Linked DNA regions of Caenorhabditis elegans. The protein of the gene in region 1 interacts with the protein of each later gene in a pairwise test. Each region holds a gene or a part of one and is shown in the gene's direction. Other genes may lie near its edges.

The links.
Region 2: the proteins of fbxa-196 (region 1) and skr-3 interact in a two-hybrid assay, tested with the Caenorhabditis elegans proteins (one study listed by BioGRID).
Region 3: the proteins of fbxa-196 (region 1) and gei-4 interact in a two-hybrid assay, tested with the Caenorhabditis elegans proteins (2 studies listed by BioGRID).

What each region holds. Positions count from the first base shown.
Region 1 is NC_003283.11:6,445,678-6,452,059, forward strand, and holds fbxa-196 (F-box domain-containing protein), read left to right. Parts: upstream 1-2,978; 5' UTR 2,979-3,030; coding exon 3,031-3,101; intron 3,102-3,222; coding exon 3,223-3,429; intron 3,430-3,474; coding exon 3,475-3,561; intron 3,562-3,606; coding exon 3,607-4,249; intron 4,250-4,293; coding exon 4,294-4,503; 3' UTR 4,504-4,540; downstream 4,541-6,382. Other genes in the region: T05H4.3 (U2A'/phosphoprotein 32 family A C-terminal domain-containing protein), read left to right, coding at 1-73, 118-234, 287-363, 409-495, 731-1,003, 1,047-1,232, 1,313-1,540, 1,598-1,789 and 1 more; acl-8 (Phospholipid/glycerol acyltransferase domain-containing protein), read left to right, coding at 5,221-5,385, 5,451-5,919, 5,979-6,073, 6,191-6,355.
Region 2 is NC_003283.11:16,118,413-16,123,869, forward strand, and holds skr-3 (Skp1-related protein), read left to right. Parts: upstream 1-3,411; 5' UTR 3,412-3,440; coding exon 3,441-3,503; intron 3,504-3,557; coding exon 3,558-3,824; intron 3,825-3,887; coding exon 3,888-4,061; 3' UTR 4,062-4,236; downstream 4,237-5,457. Other genes in the region: str-103 (Serpentine receptor class r-10), read right to left, coding at 1-30, 92-289; Nuclear hormone receptor family member nhr-111, read right to left, coding at 4,643-4,842, 4,892-5,063, 5,105-5,194, 5,250-5,389.
Region 3 is NC_003281.10:342,974-351,797, reverse strand, and holds gei-4 (BZIP domain-containing protein), read left to right. Parts: upstream 1-3,370; 5' UTR 3,371-3,397; coding exon 3,398-3,580; intron 3,581-3,633; coding exon 3,634-3,753; intron 3,754-3,888; coding exon 3,889-3,957; coding exon of another isoform or gene 3,958-4,110; intron 4,111-4,360; coding exon 4,361-4,759; intron 4,760-4,914; coding exon of another isoform or gene 4,915-4,929; coding exon 4,930-5,030; intron 5,031-5,289; coding exon 5,290-5,509; intron 5,510-5,688; coding exon 5,689-5,775; intron 5,776-5,939; coding exon 5,940-6,332; intron 6,333-6,715; coding exon of another isoform or gene 6,716-6,724; coding exon 6,725-6,859; 3' UTR 6,860-7,492; downstream 7,493-8,824. Other genes in the region: Y50D7A.8 (PDZ domain-containing protein), read left to right, coding at 8,576-8,734.

The sequences.
Region 1 (6,382 bases):
ATGTGTGCAATTAGAAACTTTCTTTGTAAATGACAATTTGTTGAAGGATAAAAGTGATGTAGAGCTGCTCAAGGTTAGAGCCAAATTATCACTGAAAACTTAACTAATTACCTGCAGACTATGCCAAAACTTACCCATCTCGACATGTCAAATAACATTCTCAGTTCTGCAGAAGGATATAGGCCAAGAGTTATGCAGGCAGCACAGTTTCTGATATCTTTGGACAGACAAATTGTGTGTTTTCCTTATACAATTTAAGCTAGTCTCTATTTCGAAATTGTTCTAGATTCCATTGGAAGAACGACATGTTAACACAATGAAACAGACCACGAGAGGATTAAGCTTGGAATTGATTGAAAGAATGTTAGTGGTTTATTTTTTGAAATCATATATAAAGTTGATTTTCAGATGTCCTGAATGGAAAAACAAAAAGGAATTGATGATTTGTGATCAAAAGATTGAGCAGATTATTTTGGAAAAGTCACAAATGGAGGAGTGAGTCAATTTGTTTTTTTTAGATACCAAAACGCAGTTCAATGATAAATGTACATACCTTTTCATACCTATAGGGCACATAATTTTCTGGTTTTGTAAGTTTTTTAAATTTCTGGTTTTGAAAGTTTTGCATGCAATCCCTTTCTGAACATGTACATATGTTACTCAAAACGTATAATAAAATTTCAAAAAAACGTTCCAAATTTAAAAAAAAGAGATTTTAATTTAATTGCAGATTATCCCAAATCCGACTAATTGACCTGTCTAAAAATCGACTGTCAAGCGTTCGTGAAATCAGTTCCTTCAACATCACCCATCTTATTCTCAATAACAATTGCCTGAAATCGATTGCAGTAAACGATGGCCAAACATCATTGCAGCCATTTCCTTATTTAGAAAACCTAGATATTTCGAATAACTCAATAAGCAATACATCTATTCTGAGACTTGGAATCCCACTTTTATTGAAACTTAAAAACATTAATTTGTCGCAAAATGCATTGTCAAGGTTGATAGTTATTGTAAATCTAGTCACACTTGAATATTTTCAGATTTGATTGTTCTCTATTTGATCTTCCGAATTTGGAATCAGTTGATTTGAGTAACAACTCGATAAAAACAATTATCAGACGCCCATTGAAAACTTTAACTTCCTTGAATCTTCAAAATAACAAATTGACAACTCTAACTCCATTGTCATGCCCTAATCTAGTGTCATTAGATATTTCAAACAATAAGTGAGTTTTTGATAGGTGCCTAACTTTACGATTTTTAGCAAGTTCTATACTCTTTAGCTATTAAAGTTTCAAATTTGTAGACTTGCGTCTTGTGCATCTTTGAAGCCTCTCTGCGAATGCAAGACTCTGGAAAATTTGGACTGTAGGAACAATTCAGTAACGGAGAGAAGGGTTTATGTTGATTTTATCAAAGCACAGGTTCCATCTGTTAGAAAACTAGATGACGAGATTATGAGCAATGAAATTGAAATTACGAAACGAAGATTGTCTCGAGCAAATGATTTGATCTCGATGAGCAGAAGAAGCAGGTACTTACAATTAGGAATATCTGATATTATGACTCTTTTTACACTACACAATTTCAGTATGGTGACCTCGTCGATGCTATCTTGGTTCGAGAGAGAAGAGGGTGAAACTCTGGAAAACGTGAAAAGGGCTTCAAGTTTTCTAGAACCAAGTGCAGCTGAAACCCCCATGAGACCACGACGGCTTGAACCTCTTCCCGGAAGACGTAAAACTAATAGTGAAAGCAATGGATTAATGTTGTTAGGTACAAAGTAAGTGATTTTATATATTAGTTGAGAGATTATGAAATGTTTCTAAATTCGTTTTTGTTCATTTTCAGAGCTGTGCAACATCGCAAGTAAAAGGCCCAATTATGTGGAGAGTCTGTCGAATATATTTTTTTCTAAACTATTATTATCATTTTTCAACTAAATATAAATACTATCTGAATAAGTCTCATGATAGGTATTCAAAAGTTAGTAGTGCCTACCTTACAATAAGAGTAACTACGGTAGTTGTCTGAGTCTATTTTGGTCAGTGTTCTTCAAAATGTAGAATTTTGGAAACATCATTTGAAATTTCGATTTGATCTTACAATCAGTTCAATATAATACCACTTTTGGGGTTTTCACAGGAATTCTGCAGACAGTTTTATTGGGAACTAGTTCAGAGCAGAGGTGGGCGGATATTTTTTCGGATATTTTCTAATAATGAATTTATCAATAAGTATTGATGTAGTTATTCTGGAAAAAATGTATCCGAACAAAAGAGTAACTATTAAGAAACATTTTAATATGATAAAACCTAGAAAAATTCTACAAGTTTTCTGTATAAACGATATGCAAGTCCATTATCCGATATCCGTAATATCCGTAATATCCGATATCCGATGTTGCTCGGCTAATAAGTTTTAAGGTCTCGGTAAGGAAAACTTGTAGAATTTTTCTAGGTTTTATCATATTAAAATGTTGCTTAATAGTTACTCTTTGGTTCGGATACATTTCTTCCAGAATAACTACATCAATACTAATTGATAAATTCATTATTAGAAAATATCCGAAAAAATATCCGCCCACCTCTGGTTCAGAGTAAAAATCCATTGTTAACCATAGGAAATGCACTGGATTCTATACTGAATTTTCAGATGAAAATTTTCAGACTCACCGTGTGTTTAGCAGGAATGATTTACAGATTCTAAAAGCCCAATTTGTCAGAAGATATAACATGTTCAACTTATTTCTTATCATACCACACGGTTACATAATTCCCTAGTAGGCTATAAGGTAATGCAGGTTTCACCCCACTTTATTTATTTCGGCATTATCACTTTTTTTTTCAATAAATATCACTTTTTAATTTCACGTTTTTAAAAAAATAGTGAAATAATTAAAACATTTTAGAAAGCCAAATTTTAAGTGAGCGTGAAACGAAAAAAAAAACCGCCCATGAAATTTCAAATTTATTTATTTCTTGATACTTCGCCAGCTCTACGAAGTTTTTCCAAATCGTCAAAATGTCCGATTCACCAAGAAGCGACGAAGAGGATCTCAGTGAAGGTTCGGACAGCTCAGTATCACTGCATCAGTAAATTTTTCACTATATTATGCTACGTGGATCTCTTTTATTGAATTGTAATTTCAAACAACTGCCAACGTAGCAAAAACTAAACTGTATGCTGTTATGAAAAGTTTTATTCAAATTTTAGAATCGATCCCAAAATTCAATGTATCGTCACGGACCCACGTGCAGTGCGAATCTTGATTCTACATCAACATCTTCAAGGCATTCCAGTTTTCAATGCATATAAAGCAATGAACAAGGTATTTGGAGATCACTTTATGGAATACCGACACTTTGAATATTGGTATATGGGACTTGCAAATGGGAGTTTAACCGTAGACTCTTATGATAGGTTTGTGTTTTTTCAATGAACATAATATCACAGTACCTTTTATAGATTTCATACATCAGAGAGAAAAGAGTTCACCGACTTTTCAACCTACTTCCAAGCAATGATTCTGGATAAACTGAATCCAATTGATCGGTAAGAATTGATTGTATTTTTGTTTTGTAAATACAAAATCTTCAGGTTTGCTGCACGCGCAGTTTGCCGTGGTTTTAAGTCTATGATCGATTATCAACATTCTAACCTGAAAACGATGACTATGTATCTAGAAGAGAAAAGCGTTGGATTGAAGACAAACGGTGGCTACGTGACCTATGAATTGGAGGATGAGGACTGTCAAGTGAACTATAAGAAACGGAAAATGATTGTTAAGGATAAGAAACCATTGGAGGTTGCTATGAAGGATGTATCAAGACTTTTGAAGATCAGAGGATTAGATATGGATTACTTCGCAATTATTATGACGGAAATTATGGAAGAAGAGTTCGTTTCATTTGATGCTATTAACGACGTTCTTAAATCAATTGGAATCCTGTCGGCAAAATCAGTATTGCTCGATTGGTTTCACACTTTTGAAATTACTGTACTTCTGAAATACTTTAAGCCTGGAATCCTGGAGGACTTAACAATTAAATGTCTTGAATCCGATGAAGAGTTCACAGGAAATCTGGTGTACCTGGAACAGTGGAAAAAGGCAAAGAATCTGAAATTGTCTAAAGTCCCAAATTTTCCAATTATCGTCGAACATCTCGATAACTTCAAATCTTTGAACTTCGACTTCCATGGGGAACCTTTCTCAAGAGATGATATCATGAAGCTTCGAGATGTGAGTTTCCTTTCATATATCAATTTTCCCAAATAAACTTTCAGGAGGTTCTTCTAAAATCAACCAAGTTTGAATACTTTTCTTGTAAAAATGTGAAATTCAACACAAAAATGTTCGTGAAAGTTTTTGATGCTCGCTCAACTCTATTTTGTTCGTCTGGCTCAATTGTTTATGAATCGTCCAATGGAATATTCGATATTGCTTATCATCCGAATGGGTTCAACATTAAGAAGAAAATTGACTCGCAAGTTTGAACTCGTGAATATTAGGATAATAAATTATTTATCATTTATCAAACTATTTCAGTGTCGAAATATACCACATTTTCAAAAATAATGGAATTGAATTAAAAATATAATCATACCGTATCCATTCAAAACTTCCTGAGCGTTGCGAGACCTGTCCACAAAAGAACACCTCCCTCCAAATTTGGCTACTGTCTTGCTTCATTTTTCATACTGTTTTTTTGTTTCTTTTTCGTTCTTTTTCAGCCTTGGTCTGTTTTTTCCTTTTCACCTCCTTATTCTCTCTTTTTCATACACAAATAGCAAGAGAATAAGATGATAGAAGAGACGCAGAGTGCGAAAGGACGGAGCCTCGTTGCCCGCCGAACACTGAGGTTTATTGACTTTTCTACTGCTTTTCGAGCTGCTTTCGCGGAAAAAAAGATTGAGCTTTCTTTCGAGAGCTTTCGACTGTGCTTCTCGACTAAAAATATCGAAATACAACTTTTAGTTTGTCTTGCTAGCCTATCTTTTTGAAAATAATTTGTCAGGAAGCTGAATTGGGAAGAAAACGGAATAGTTAAAAATTTTACCTGTGATTTGTGCGATTATACGCATTTTTAACCATGTGTCTCGATAATTTCAATTATAACATTTTCCTCTGTCTCTTTCTATTTCGTTATCTTTTTTTTCTCATTTACAGTTGTTTCTTATTACAGAATAATCTCTCTCCAACAGAATGACGATATGAAAGTAATAAAAGGCGTCACGTTCATCGTTCTCGTCTTCTTCTCCTCACTTCTCGGAACTGTTTTTCTTCTTTTTCCGCTTATTCCTCTCGCATGGTTTGCGCCGAAATTATGGAGAACATGCGCCGATCGTCTTGTTGGATTCTGGTTAACTTTTCCATGTGTAAGTTGTTATTTGTGGTTAATTTTCTAAAAAAAAACTGTAAACTATAAAGAAAATATTTTCAGTCCCTCATCGAATGGGTATTTGGAGTGAATTTCCGAGTAACCGGTGATCTGATCGAACGAGATGAGCCAGCAATTTTGATAATGAACCACCGGACCCGACTTGATTGGTTATTCTCGTGGAATGCTCTTTACAAAATGGATCCATGGCTTCTCACCACAGAAAAAATATCTCTGAAAGCTCCTCTCAAAAAGATTCCCGGCGCCGGTTGGGCTATGAGCAGTGGATCTTACATATTCTTGGATCGAAACTTTGAAAATGATAAACCAGTTCTGGAAAGGATCGTAAAGTATTACTCGGGCTCAGAAAAGAAATATCAGATTCTTCTTTTCGCCGAGGGAACTGACAAAGGAGAGCGAGCAACTCGTTTGAGCGACGCTTTTGCCGATAAAAATGGATTACCGAGATATGAGTATGTATTGCACCCGCGAACGACGGGATTCAAATTTTTGATGGAATTGATGAAAAAAGGTGAGAGAGAGAATTTCAATTTTTGAATGCGACTAGCGACGAACCAGGGGATTTTGCAGAGAATTATATAAAATACGTTTATGATCTCACAATTGCGTACAGTGGAACTATAGTCGACACAGAAGCAAAACTTTTGGCTGGCAATTTTCCAGATGTAAGTTTTTATTGTAAAAATATTTAAAATTTTCTACATTTATTAAATTGTCATAATTCAAAATTTAAATTACAAAAACCCCAAAAATAATAATTTTAACAAAAAATTGTTTTTCAGAAAGTTCACTTAGATGTTAAAAAGTACAAGCTAGACGAAATTCCAACAGGAGAAGGGTGCGAGAAATGGCTCACCGATTTATGGGCAACAAAGGAGAAGCGACTGAAAAAGTTTTACGAGCAGGAAGAGCGACTAGAAGCAAGTGGTGATAGATTCGAGTGGCCGGTTGGTTTTTTTGTTGCGAAATTCAAT
Region 2 (5,457 bases), 9.7 Mb from region 1:
GGCAAAGGCGTTTTTTGAGATGTAAACGTTCTGAAAATACTTCAGTTTCACAATTTTACTTTTTAAATATATCTGTTAACAAAGTACTCACTGGTTTACTCCAAAAATCGCAACAGGAATAAATTATCCCAAGTACTGAAAATGAAAACATCAAGTATTTATATCTACCGAATGTTTTCTTTGGCATCATGCTTATCAACAATAAAAGTACTGAATTCAAAGATATTGAAAGAGAAAATCCAATTGTTTCAGCATACGATGTCAACTCGATCCAAGAAGTAGAACACATTTCTGCTTTTTAGCAAAAAAATGAAGAATTTTTGAATTTTTCGATCTCGTCAAAATGTTGATGTAACTGGATGGCTTTCGTAGAAATTACAGAGAACAATTTTTAACATACAGTTTGTATACTTTTTCTGAATGCTGGAAATTGTGATTTTCAGGAATGTATAATATTTTTGGATAGTCGAGACATTTTTGGATAGTCCAGTCAACAAGAACGCGAATACAATCCGAGATACGAGTAAAAATAGGAGAAAACGGGGTTTTTATATCTCAAAAATGAATTTATTATGAGAATTCAATGCAAAAGAGACAAAAAAGCAAAGGACATCTAGAGACGAGTCAACACGAATTTAGAAATGTAATTTAGCAGGTAGACGAGGATAAAACCAAAAAACGTATTCGGGAAAAACCCAGGCTCTATGCAGAAATATGCATGAGGCAGATAAGGTGGTCCTCCCCACATCACGCAAAATACTAACTAATACAAAAACAGAATCGTAGTGTCTGTGGTAGGCGTGTCTTATTAGCTTCCTTGTCAAGACACAACATGATGTACCGGAAATTTGACAATCGTATGTGATGGTTATTCCAAAAAACAATTGTATAGGCGTAGACAGGGCAGTTGTGTTCTGTTATTAGTTATCATACGATTATTGTCACGTCAGCCCCATGGTAGCCAAAATGAAAAAAAAAAAAAAAACTTGGTGACCAATGGGCTTTAAATGCACCTTACTCGACAGAATCACGTGAGATAAACGACCAAGATTATTCTCGGTCAAAGGGAAAGAGAACACATAAGTCCCATCCTTCCGAAGAAGTTCAACGTGTATATTCTTTCCTGATGCACAGGACAATAACTTTTCAGGATGAAGAAACAAGTCTAAATTTTTTAAAACCTAGCAATAATTTTTATGGAAGAAAATAAAAACACGTATTTAACTGATGTTCTACCCACTTTTTGTTTTACCATAGTTGTTGTAATATTTTTCACAAACTGTATTACTTTCAAATTGTTTATAAAATCACCAAATTATGGAGCACGACTTATAGAAAACTTACGGCTATGAAATTTTTTTTCTTCTCAACCGAATTATCCATTGTATTATTTGTACGATTTTTCTTCCATAAAGCAGAAAACACACCAAACGGCGATTTCTTTCTGCTACCTACAGTTACTCAATAAAACTAATTTTGTTCGTGAAGAACATGCGTATGAGTTTTTGAAATTGATGTTTCTATCTAACTTTTCATTTAGAGTAAGAAAATGTTCACAAAATTTTTTACGTTGAGAAATTTATATTTCCTTTTTACATGACACTTTTTCCATTAACACCATTAAGAAATTGTATAATGACAACTGGAATTGCTCTAGAAATTTCACAAAACATTTTAAAAGTACTGAAAGTTATTTTTCATCGAAAAGCATTTGAATTTAATGAAATTTTTCAAAGGCATTAACTTTTAATGTTCATTTTCCAGTGTCACCATTTGTATTAAAAACCGTCCGCATTCATGTTTATCACCCCTGGGCAGGATCCTTCCTAGGACACGGTAGTACATAAACTAGATGGTTTGGCTTAAGATACCCAGTCCGAAAACCTATATTGACTGCTATCTCGAAAACAAGCCGCAAATTTTATTTTGCGATGCATATGAAAAATGACCACAGGACAATTCTCCATCTTTTCTATTAAGAAATTTTTGAGTTGAAAATTTCCTAACCGGTGAAATTTGTGTTCGTACGGTAGATCGCGTTGGCACTGATTTAGTTGTTGTACCACCGTGAGGAAACAAAAACCTTCGCAACCGCGCTCTATTGACACGGGAGAGTGCGACTCATTCAGCATCAGATTGCCTAAAACGTTTTTTAATTGTTTTTATCACGGTTTTTACGCTTAAAATATGTTTTGTCCGTAGAAAAACATAACTATTTTCAGTAAAATCTAATAAAAATTATTTTTAACTGAATTTCAAAAATCATCTCAAATTGCGAAATATAAAAAAAAACGACTGTTTGTTAACCGATATCGAGCAGGAAAGTTAAGTCGGCCAATTTTCTGACCCCTTTTAACAAATTGCGGTCTGCCAATAAAAATATTTAGCATTTTCATAGCAATTCATTTTTTTTCAGAATAAAAAATTCGTGGTACTTTTTCATTATAAAATTTGGTATTTTCTGGCAATTTTGAGTTTTTTTTAAACTTAAATTTAAAAATAAAGTAACTAGACTCTGATCCACATTTAATTCAATGTATTCCACTGAAAATTGTCTTTTTTTCGTTCACAATTTCATACATACATTACTCAACAATTCGTCACACTTTCTCACTTCTCTCTATCTCTCCTCCCATCTTTAAATTCCTCAGCCTCTTATTCTCAAGTTGTGTACACTGTTCCTATCAACACAAATTTCGACATTTAAACGTAGCAAGGCAACGTTTTCCAGCTTATAAACCAACCGAGGTATCAGACATTTGCTCACTTTTCTGTTCTTATCAATTTGAAAATGAGTACATTCTTTTTTAGTTAAATTTCCAATAGCACACCGTATTTCCTCTAATTGTATTCCACCCCAAAGTTCAACTTTGTCAGCTTATATCTCAGTCATTGTTTGTCCTATTTAAACATTGTCAACTGACAAAATATTTGTTAGTTTTTTTTCCATCATTTCGTAATTAATGATAAACTCATATCTTCAAAATGAACCGAGATATAACGTTTCAAAGTTAAATAGTCAGGTGCAATACTAATAGAGGAAATACGGTAATTGTCAAATTCAGTATTTTCTTGGTTAAAACTTGAGAGGTTTTATAATCAAAATGCGTACCAAAATATTTTCGTTCAATTTTTTCAATTTAAAATTAAAAAAAAATAAATCTTTGATCTTTTGAACACACTTTACTAAAAAATATATCGCATGACGTTGGACACTGCAATTTGTTTCGAAATGTGTACACACACCCCATTCTCTCCCTTCTTCAAATATAGATAAGGGAACCGATGGTTTTCATATTTCACATAAAATACTCAGCAATTTTCGTCTCTTTTCTGCTGAAAGTAACTTTCGAATTTTTTTTTCTTCTTGAGTTGACTCTTCGACTCTTGACTGTATTTCAAATTTTCCAGATTACACAAAGAAATCGAATATTTAAAAAATGTCAGACGCCGACAGCCAGAAACAAATCAAGCTCACCTCTTCTGATGATAAAACTTTCACGGTATTTTTTAAATTATAATTTCCTTTAACTAAATAATAAAATGTAAGTTTATAGGTCTCACGAAAAGTGATCAGTCAATCCAAGACCATCACAGATATTATCCAAAACCTTGGAATTGAAGAATCTGGATCCACTTCTGAAGACACGATTCCACTTCAGAAAGTGACTTCTACTATCCTTGAGAAGATTATCACCTGGTGCGAGCATCACGCCGACGATGAGCCAAAGAAAGTCGACGAAAACAAAAAGACGGTAGACATTAGTGAATGGGACGCCGAATTCATGAAAGTCGATCAGGGAACCTTGTTCGAAATTATCTTGGTAAATATTAAAGTTTTATAAGCTATTCTCCAGAATTGAACATTAAACCGATTTCTTTTTCAGGCCGCCAACTACCTCGACATCCGTGGGCTTTTGGACGTGACCACCCAGAATGTGGCTAACATGATGAAGGGTAAAACTCCAAGCCAAATCCGAACCCTCTTCAACATTGAGAACGATTTTTCCGAGGAGGAACGGGAGGCCATGAAGAAGGAAAACGCTTGGTGCGAGGATTAAGCTCCCTGGTAAACATAATTAACTTGAACTTTATCTGATTCGGTTTACATACCTCTTTTATGTCACTTAAAACAAAATCAAAAATTATTTTAAACAAAAAAAAACTTTGTCTGTCAAGTACGCTTTACATTGCTTCCAACAAAAAATATAATTTAAATAAATGTATAACGTCTGTATATTGTGTAGTTTGTTCATTGTGTATGAATTTACCATTTGCAAAAAAAAAAAACTTTGGCGGCCAAATTTGCAGCCAACTACTGTTTTGACTTGTAAAAAAACTGTTCAAAATCGTTGTAACGTTTTTGGAAGTATTTCAACTGATCGAGAAGAAAATTGTTTAAAAAATTTGGTTGCCTTGGGGGAATCTGGAGAAAAAATAGGAAAGAAATTTGGGTTTGAACATTGTTTTTGAGGAAACAGTTGCAAATTAAATGAAAATCTCTAAGCCAGGACCTATGCCAAGGCCTAAGCCTTAGCCTAAGCTTAACCGTAAGCCTAAGTCTAAGCTTAAGCTGAGCACTACTAGTGAGCAAAATGGGGGTAATGTGTGCATATAACAGCATCAGAAAAATAGTCAAAATTTAAAGAAAACTAATCACAATCTCACAAGCTTTAAGATCCAGGAGAGATTCAAGCTGTCTAGTAGAATAGGATTTAAGCTCGCCGAGGAGAAATAGAAGCCTTCCAGATTTGGACTTTGAAGACTCCAGGTGCAACTGATTGAGAAGGCCGATACAGATATCAAGTTGGCGATCGAATTTGAGATCAGTGCCATCTTTGGCTGAAATTTTAGTTTCTGAAAGCTCAGCAGCTTTTCTAGTTAAACTTACTTTCCGTGAAAATAATAATTCCCTTCAAGAGGAAATAATCCTGCGCCGAAAGTTCGAGGGATTTGAATTTCTCAGCCAGTTGTGCAAATTTTTCATCGATGAAGATTTTTTCGGAGTTTTCGAACAACGCGAGGCACAAAAGATGTGGCCACTGGGTCAGTATGATCTGGCTCTGGAAATTTTTTTAATGACTTTTATGTTTGGCATTTAGACCTTTTCAACATCGGAAAGCACTGCGAAGAGCGAAAACTGTTGCACCCACTGGAGTGCGTTTTTCAGATGAACTAGCACGGAGCTTGTGTCCTGAAATTAAATTTGTGGTGTCTCAGGTTGATAGTTTGTCTCCTGATTAACTAACAATTTCATGTTGAGCATGTTCGTGTTGGAATCTGAGACGATCAGAGTGAGTAGGCAGAAGTCCCTTGGAATACTCTCGGAATGAGGGCAACTCGACATACTCTACAGTGTAGCTATGGGAAGTTCTCTCGGGTTGCACAGCTGGAAAATAATTATTTAGAGACGAAACTGTGTCGCCTTCGCCGGCTTCAGGAGGCTTCTGCCGGCCT
Region 3 (8,824 bases), on another chromosome or scaffold:
ATTCAGCAAATTTTCATCAAATCGACTAGAAAATTCAAGGTGCACTGGTGGTTACGGAAGTGCCGGAGTACATTGTGTTGCAGTTCACCAGTCTCGGTTCAAAGTTAACCAGAGCTGTAGGTTCTTGATTTCTTGGCTCAGAACCTGCAGAAATAGTAAAATAAAAGCTCAAATCATCGTCTACGGTAGAACCTAAATACACGTGGTGTCAGAGTGTTTCATTTTGGCTTGATCTACGTAGATCTACAAAAATGCGGGAGCAGACACACGCAGAGCGCTCAACTCTCAATTTTGCATGGTTTAGAGCGTGCTTAAGTCACATTTTCCTGAGGAAAATTCCCGCATTTTTTGTAGACCAAGCCGTAATGGGGCAGCCTGGCACCACGTGATCTAGGGAGTTGGTGCATCTGGAATAATTTCAGCCGGGAAACCTAACCTTGTGACTTTGAAATAATTTCGTCGTGGCCTAGTTTTTGAAACTTGCCTATCTGATTTCATCAGTGGCCGAGTTTTCTCTATTCACGGCTGCACAGCGAAAATTGACCTGGAACAAAATTTACACAAGTGCAAGCTAATAAACTTAAGTGCTAGAAAAAATACACGAGGTTTCGTTTTTTTAAAGTAAAAAAACTTTATACAAAGTTAGTAAGTACTTACTAGGAAAATTCCAAAAGGACTTTCACAGCTCGGTATTTGGTTCTGGCTTCATGCCCAAGTTTAGCCCAAAAATATTAACTTGGATCAAAAGATGCCTAAGCTTGGGCAAAAGTCAGGCAAGACTTTGTCAAAATTGGATTCAGGCCAAAGTTTGACCCGAATTTCACCGAACTCTTGCCTATCTTTGGCCCAAACTTTTCTTGTTTTGTTTCAAACTTGGACCAAAGTTAGGCAAGAGTTGGGTGAAACTTTGGTAAAGCCTGAATCCAAATTTTTGACAAAGTCTTGCCTAACGTTTGCCCAAGTTTAGGCATCTTTTGATCCAAGCTAATATTTTTGGGCCGAACTTTGGCAAGAGGTTAGAGCCAATTGCAGAGAGGATAGGCAAGAGTCCTAGATCTTGTTCACCGAGAAAACGATTTTCAGGGGCCTGGCGAAATTTCGAGTGGCTTCGTGGGAACTTTTTGACTTTCAGCGAATTCTTTACAGGTTGAGCTATCTATTTCAGAGACGCAAAATAAAAAATAATCTAAGCTCCATTATAGTCTGATTCCACTTGGAATATCCAAGAATACCCCGGTAGTTACAACAACTTTCAAGCTTTTCTAAGGCCTGGGTTCCCCGATAGGCCCCTATTTAACAGACCAAAGCCCAATTAGAGGTCTGATAGAGGTCTAATTTCATGGCATCTGAATACGGTAGAAGCCTAGGCAAAATTCTCAGTGTTCAGAATTTCCAGAAGTTCCTAGTGCCTCAAGGATAGCCTGAGCTCCATTCTAGTCTGATTCCACATGGTATATCCAGGACTACTGGAGAGCCCCAACAACTTTCAAGCTTTTCTAAGGCCTGGGTTCTCTATTTTAACAGACCCAAGAGGCCTGATATCATAGCCTCTGAATACGGTAGAAGCCAAGTTCTGCTCCTCTTCCTCTCCTTATACTATCTCCTGTGCTTCTTCTCCTTCTTCTTTCCTCACTGAGAGTGCCTGAGAGTTATTGTCGGCCGTCATTCGCCTCTCTTGTTTTCGAGTCTGCCGCACCCTCCGATCCATCTCTCCCCATCTTTCTCTCCGCATCACGTTACCCATTCATTCGGCACTCCTCCACGCACTCTCCACAATCGATACGCTGTCGTCACGGCCTCTAAGCACACACACTCCACGACGGGCGCGCTCTCTCGTGCCGGGTGTCTCGTGATCTCCGCCACTCGGCACAGTGTCTAGTGATGTTTGGACTCTCCGCAGCGCGCATTGTGTATGCGAGTGTGCAACGCGTCTCCGCGTCGCGGTCGGCCTCCCCTCGTACACAATGCCCCGCCCGTCTCCAATCTCTCCTCCCTCTCGTCCTATGCGCCCCAAATCGTCCTCTTCTTTTGTGTATATGTTTCGTTTTCTCTTAGTCTTCTTCCTCTTCTACTACTACTACTTTTTGCCCCCCGTCTTGTTCCCTTCATCTCCCTACACTTCTTCTTCTTCTTACCATCCCCAACCGCATCCATCCGCCATCACACACTCTTTTCCGCTGATTTTGGGAGCGCAGAGACAGAAGGCAGGCAGGCAACAAAATAGTGTGGTTAACAGTGATGATGGGAAGAGCATGGGCGGTTTAGGCGCGAAGAGGACAAATTTGAATTCTAAAAATCGACTTGAAACGGAGAGGTACAGGTTGGATTTGATGCCTTGGCCGTGAAATGGGAAAATTCGGAGGGATTTTCAGAGAACCCACAGCGATAGGAATTGGAAGACGGTATTAGAACCATTACATTAGGCTTTAGGCTCAGGTACTTGGATACGGGGCCCTCGTGGTGTCAGGCTGTCCTACTATGGTTTGATCTACAAAAAAATGCGGAAATTTTTGGCCCATAAAAATGTGACGTCAGCAAGTTCTTAACCATGCAAAATCAGTTGAGAACTCTGCGCCTCAACTCCGGCATTTTTTGTAGATCTACGCAGATCAAACCGAAATGAGACACTCTGAGACTTTTTCGTGGGGACCGCGGATATAAAAGGTCGGCCACCAAAATTCATTGCTCTTCTAGAATGCTAACTCTGCCTCTGGAACCCAAAATACCTCTGGATTTGCTGAAACTAGCTTAAAAGTGGATCAGCAGGACCTTTTCCGCAGGATTTAGAGGGACTGACCGAGTTTTCTCTTTCACGGCCACCATGTTCAAGCAGTGCACCTGGGCACCTGTGCACACAGCTCCAACACGAAAAGAAACTAAGATTTTTGCATTTTCAGTAAAATTCAGAAAATTCCACGTGGATCAGTGAAAATTTGGCGCAATTCCGTCGAAATTAGTACATGCTGGGACTATAATAAGAATTTTTTAAGCTTTTGCAGTGAGATACGTTGTTTTCAATTTTATTTTTCAATTTTTCAATCAAAATTCATGTATTCTTCTTTTGTTCCAGTCATTTTAAGCAGTGTTTTCATTATTCTAGTCTTATGAAATTCGAAAAATTGAGAAGGAGGCAAGTGCGCTCCAGTGACACTCCGGCAAATTTGAATTCGAAACTTATCTGCTTCTCTATTTTTCTCACTTTCTCCATTTAATTTCTTATTTTTCTTTGGTTTTCCTGGTTTTCCTTGGTTTTTCTTCAAAAAATTAATTTTTCAAGTGATTAAAATTGTTTCCAGCACAATTATATCCTTATTAAATCGCAATTCTCATCGGAAACTAGCTTAAAAACCTAAAATTCCAATTTTTTCAGGCTCGGAAACACAAAAAATAATAAAAAATGCAGCAGAATATACAATACACATACAGTTCGGATCCCCGCTCGGGCGGTAATCAAAATCAGCAGCTACACGGAATATCGCAATTTCAACAGAACTCCTATCAGCCGACGACGTATTCAAATTCAAATGCGAACAATTTTCATTCCTCTAATTCCGCAACTTTTATACCTAATTCAGTGACGGTAGGGGATTTTCAGGAAATCGAGTGAAAATGTTCAATTTTATTTAATTTCAGCAAACACCTCAGCGGCGGATGGGAGAAGAGAAGAGTTTAGTTAATATGCTTGACGCTTATTTTATCGACAGTACGACACCTTCAACATCAACGTCGTGGAATAATCAGCAGCCAGTTCAGGTAAAAATCGTAAAAATCGTGCGATTTGGCTTAAAAAAATGGCGGAAATCTCGAAAAATCTCGATTTTCCTCATTTTTTACCGTAAATTCTATCGTAATTGTGGTTGTGTTTGTGAATCGTGATTTATTTTATAGATGTCTTCAATACAACAATCAGTTGGATCATACAATCAACAAATACCTCAGTTGAAAGTAGGAGATGTGGTAAATTCGTTGTTTTTTCTTTGTTTTTTTTTGGGGAGAATTTCGTGTTATTCAGTGATTTTTTCAAGGAATTTTGAATTTTGCAGCTCGAAATCCGCGTGGATTTTCGCATTTGAGCGGATTTTTCAAAAAATTTGCTCAAAAAGTCGATAAGTTACTGGAACTTGCTTAGTTTTGCAACTATGGTCTGCTAAATAATTAGCAGACCAAAGGTGGGTATGCTAAATATTTAGCAGGCCCAAGTTGGGTATGCTAAATATTTAGCAGACCCAAGATGCGAAATCGAGCAGAATTTGTCCATTTCTCGAGTTTTAATGCGAATTTTAAGTTTCAACACACTGAAAACACGAATTGAATGAAATCACGCAGCGAACTCACCGAGCACACCTCAGAAACATTTCAGGACCTACAAGTAGAAGGAATGAATGTTAAACTCTCCTCGTCACCCGACAAAGGCGAGAAGGATCGAGTAAAGAAGGCGCGACAGGCAGAAGCCGCCCGAATGCGTTATCACCGACTATCAAACGAAGAGAAACGAGAGTTAAACCTGAAAAGAACGTTGGCGCAGAAGCGAAAACGGCAACGTGAGAAGGAGATGGAGGAGCTCGAATCGATTTTGCGGGAGACAAATGACATTCAAGAGGATCCGGACATCACCGAACAGCTCAGAGAGAAGAGAATGCGGGCCAAGTGGGCAGAGGCCGCCCGTACACGTTACGCTAGAATGACGCCGGAAGAGCGCCGGGCGCACAATACGCGGAGACGTATGCGGCAGATGCAGAACGCGATGAGCGCGATTAAGGTGAATATAGAACATTGAATTCTAGCAGAAAATCTGGAAAATTAGCGGAGAAGAGGAAAATTTAATTGGGTGAAAATCTATTTTTGGTAAAATCTCTCCTCCCTAACACACAAAATTTGTAATTTTTCCGCTGCTACCGTGACGTAACATTCCAGAAATCGGAGTTTCAGGCATGTGGAATGGCTACAGGAGATCCACAGAAGGACGACGAGGCTGTCCGGTTGCACATCAAGACGCAGAATGCGAAAAAAGCGGAGGCGGCTCGTCAACGGTAAGGAAGAGATTCGGGGGAATCAGAATAGCTTGGGTCTGCTAAATATTTACCATACCAAACTTGGGTCTGCTAAATATTCAGAATGGGTCTGCTAAATATTTAGCATACCCAACTTTGGTCTGCTAAATATTTATTTGGGTCTGCTAAATATTTAGCATACCCATCTTTGGTCTGCTAAATATTTAGCAGACCCAACAATTGCGAAATTCACCTGAGTTTCCACACATTTTCGATCAAAAAACCTCCAAATTTCCAGATACCATCGAATGAACGATGACGAGAAGCGCGTCTACAATCAACGAAGGACAGAAGCGTTCCGCCGCCGTCGTATGGAAGAAGAGATGCTGCTCGCCATGCCTATAGGCCGTATCAACGGAGAAGCACTGGATCGTGCTCAGCAGATTGTGGTCCGAAACGCGAAACGAGCCGAAGCGGCACGTCTTCGCTACCAGCGAATGACGCCTGATCAGAGAAAGGTGAATATATTTTTGCTACAACTAATCAATCACCAACGAGAGACAGAGAGGGTCTTGCGATGACTTTTAGTTATTTTTGAGCACGAAAAATTTGAAAATTTGCGCTAGCGAATCCAAAAAAAAACCCCGGGTTTCTTCCCCAACTCTCCGAGATCTCAGACTCCTAAATTTTGTTGTAGGTCGCGAAACAAGAACCGAAAGAAGAGTCTTGGCCCTCTCATGAGCAATCTGACACGCAAATCGACCATGATCTCGATCTCGGAGACGTTAGTGAAACCTTTTTTCTTTTATTTTTCTTCTTCTTTTTTTTGAATTTTGGATACTGAAATTGAGAATGAGAATGCTTGTTGTGTGTAGGCTTTGCGCATGTGTGTTTTCGAAAAACAAAATTTCAAAAAAAAAAAAAACATTTTAATTTTTAATTTTTCAGTCGTACAATCAAAAACGCTACACTCCAAAGCGTCGTCGCAACGAGATGGACGACATGATCAGCGCCGGACAGATGGCCGTCGGATCCTCTGGAACCATCACAATGGGCACCGGCACCCCCGCCAAAAAGGACGATATGGACGCTCTCTCCTCGTTGGAACGTGACGTCGTCAAGCGCACACAGCACGCTCAGCAGATCCTTCTCCGACAACGCGCGAATCAGTCGTCGGGAACGCCACGCTCGGTTACACCACCGCCACAGGCCTATATAATCTCGAATGGTCAGCAACAGCACCAACAGTTGGTTGGAAATCAGGGAAACAATGGGATTGGACAGCACCAGGTGCTCCATCAAGGACACATGCAACAGCAGCAGATTCAGGTGTCACACCAGGTGAATATCGATGAAAACTAGGAAAAAATGAGTTTTTGAGCGGAATTTTGCTATAAAACTCGAGGTTGGGTATGCTAACTATTTAGCAGACCCAAAGTTGGTATGCTAAATATTTAGCAGGCCCGAAGTTGGTATGCTAAATATTTAGCAGACCCAAAGTGGGTATGCTAAATATTTAGCAGACCCAAAGTGGGTATGCTAAATATTTAGCAGACCCAAAGTGGGTATGCTAAATATTTAGCAGACCCAAAGTTGGTCTGCTAAATATTTAGCAGACCCAAAGTTGGTATGCTAAATATTTAGCAGACCCAAATTTCAAAAAAAAAATTGATTTTTACTCAAATCTCCCCAATTCTAGAATCATCCAACTAATCAAACTTTAGGATTTTCAGCAGTCGTCCCAATCGATTCCTCAGAACATCTACACTTCTGGCATGATTATCCAAAATCAGGGACAACAGCAACAAGGCCAGCAGCAGCAGCAGGGACAGTCTCAACAAATATTGAACAATCCTTATAGAACCTAATAATATAATAATTCCTGTTCTTTTTTTTTCAAATCTTCTCTTTCTGTTCTTTTTTCTTCTTCTTTGTCCATTGTTTTTCTTTCCTCTGAAAATTGCATCTGTATTATTTACTGAAAATCGCGTAGTTTTTTATCTTTTTTTAATCAAAAAATTCAACAAAAAAAACCACTAAAAATTGAAAAAAGTTTGCAAAAAAAGCCCCAAAAAATAAGTTTTCTTCCTCTTAATTGTTAATTTTTTAACGTTTTATTCAACTTTCCATTTCTAATTTTCACTGTGACCCAATTTTTTGTTTCATTTTTCTGAAACCCCCATTACCAATAATTTCCAGATATTCTCATTCTCAAGAACCTCCTCTCAAATATCCGAACAAACCCTGCGCTACCGTGAAATCTGCCTTAAACCCACCCCCATCTAGAACTACCTGAAAATCCATGTTATTTTTACATTATCCTTTTTTTCCCCCATTTCTTGTTTTAAAGAAAATATTCACCCTGCGTCTCGAAATTCTTATACTCTATCCCCATCCCTCTCCCACACAAAATCCTCTCCAAATTTCCAAATATTTGGTAATCTGAAAATTTTCGTCGAATTTGAATATTGACGATTAATTAGAATAAAAATTGAAGTTTATTCCTGAGTTTCCGATTTGAAAATTCCTTTTTTTAGCGTGTTTTTTTCAGCGTTTATCTACTTTCTTTTACAAAAATTGTAATAGAAAAAAATCGATATTTGCCACGTGGCAAGCCAAATTGGGTCTGCTAAATATTTAGCAGACCCAAGAAAAATTATTTAGCAGACCAAAGTTGGGTCTGCTAAATATTTGGCAACCAATTTTCTCCAGAAATCCAATTAAAAAGCTCAATAAACCATGAAAAGAGCATTCAGTTGTAAATATTTAATACGAAATTCTATTTCTTGCGGAAAATAATAATTTTCTTGCTGTTCGCACTGGGAAGAGAGGAAATCCCTCAATTTTCCATCCCGATAATTGCACCTTACACTCGGGGTCTCTCGAGAGTTTATAATTAGCTTTTATTTTCAGAAAATACGTATTTTGTTTATCAAATACCCCGAAAATATGAAAATTCTCATGACAACTGGGGAAAATCCATAAAAAAGTGGCAGTGGGCAAGCGCGCTCCATTGATAACGTGCATTTTCCGATATTTTTCCAAGCTCAAGGCGTTCGCTGTAATATATATTTTTCAGCCGAAATAATGGTGAATATGGATTTTCAAATGAATTTTTCAGATTTTTAAGTCTCCTAGGCCAAAAAATGTTTAAAAATTAGTTTTTAATGCAATTTTCCAACTGAAAAATCACTTTTTTTGAGAGTTTAGCTCTATTTGAGCATAAAATCTCAAAACTTTACACATAAAAAGTCAATATTTCATGCCTCTCCTTTCCCCGCCAAAGCTGCACCAAATTGAAAATTCCATAGAAAACAGGAAATCAGTGAGCGGATTAAATTTTTCTCTCTCTCTCTTGATCACCTGTTCGTGTATATGTGTGAGTAGGCATTGAGCACCTGATGACGTGGAGATTTGCTCTCTGAATTGAATTTTGGCTTTGCCTAGATATTCAGCAGTCCTATAAATATATTTTAATGTTATATTTTTTTTGGCTTTTTGTTTTTCGAATTTTCTTGAATATTTGTTTTAAAAATTAATTTTTAATTAATTATTTTATCCTCAGAAATCCACGTGTGGATGATATGAATCACGATGACGACGATGATGATCCATACTACCATCAATCCACGTCATCATCGGAGGTTGCAGAACCTTCCACGTCGTCTGCGGTCTATCCAGAAGTTTACAGTCAGAAAATGATACCTGGCACTGGTGGACCGACGATTCCCGGCGCGGCGAATGTGAGGAGAAATTTTGAAATAAAAATTCTCACTAAAATCCTCAAAAAATTTTTTTTTTGTATTAAATCTAGAAATTTTCTTTAATTTAGC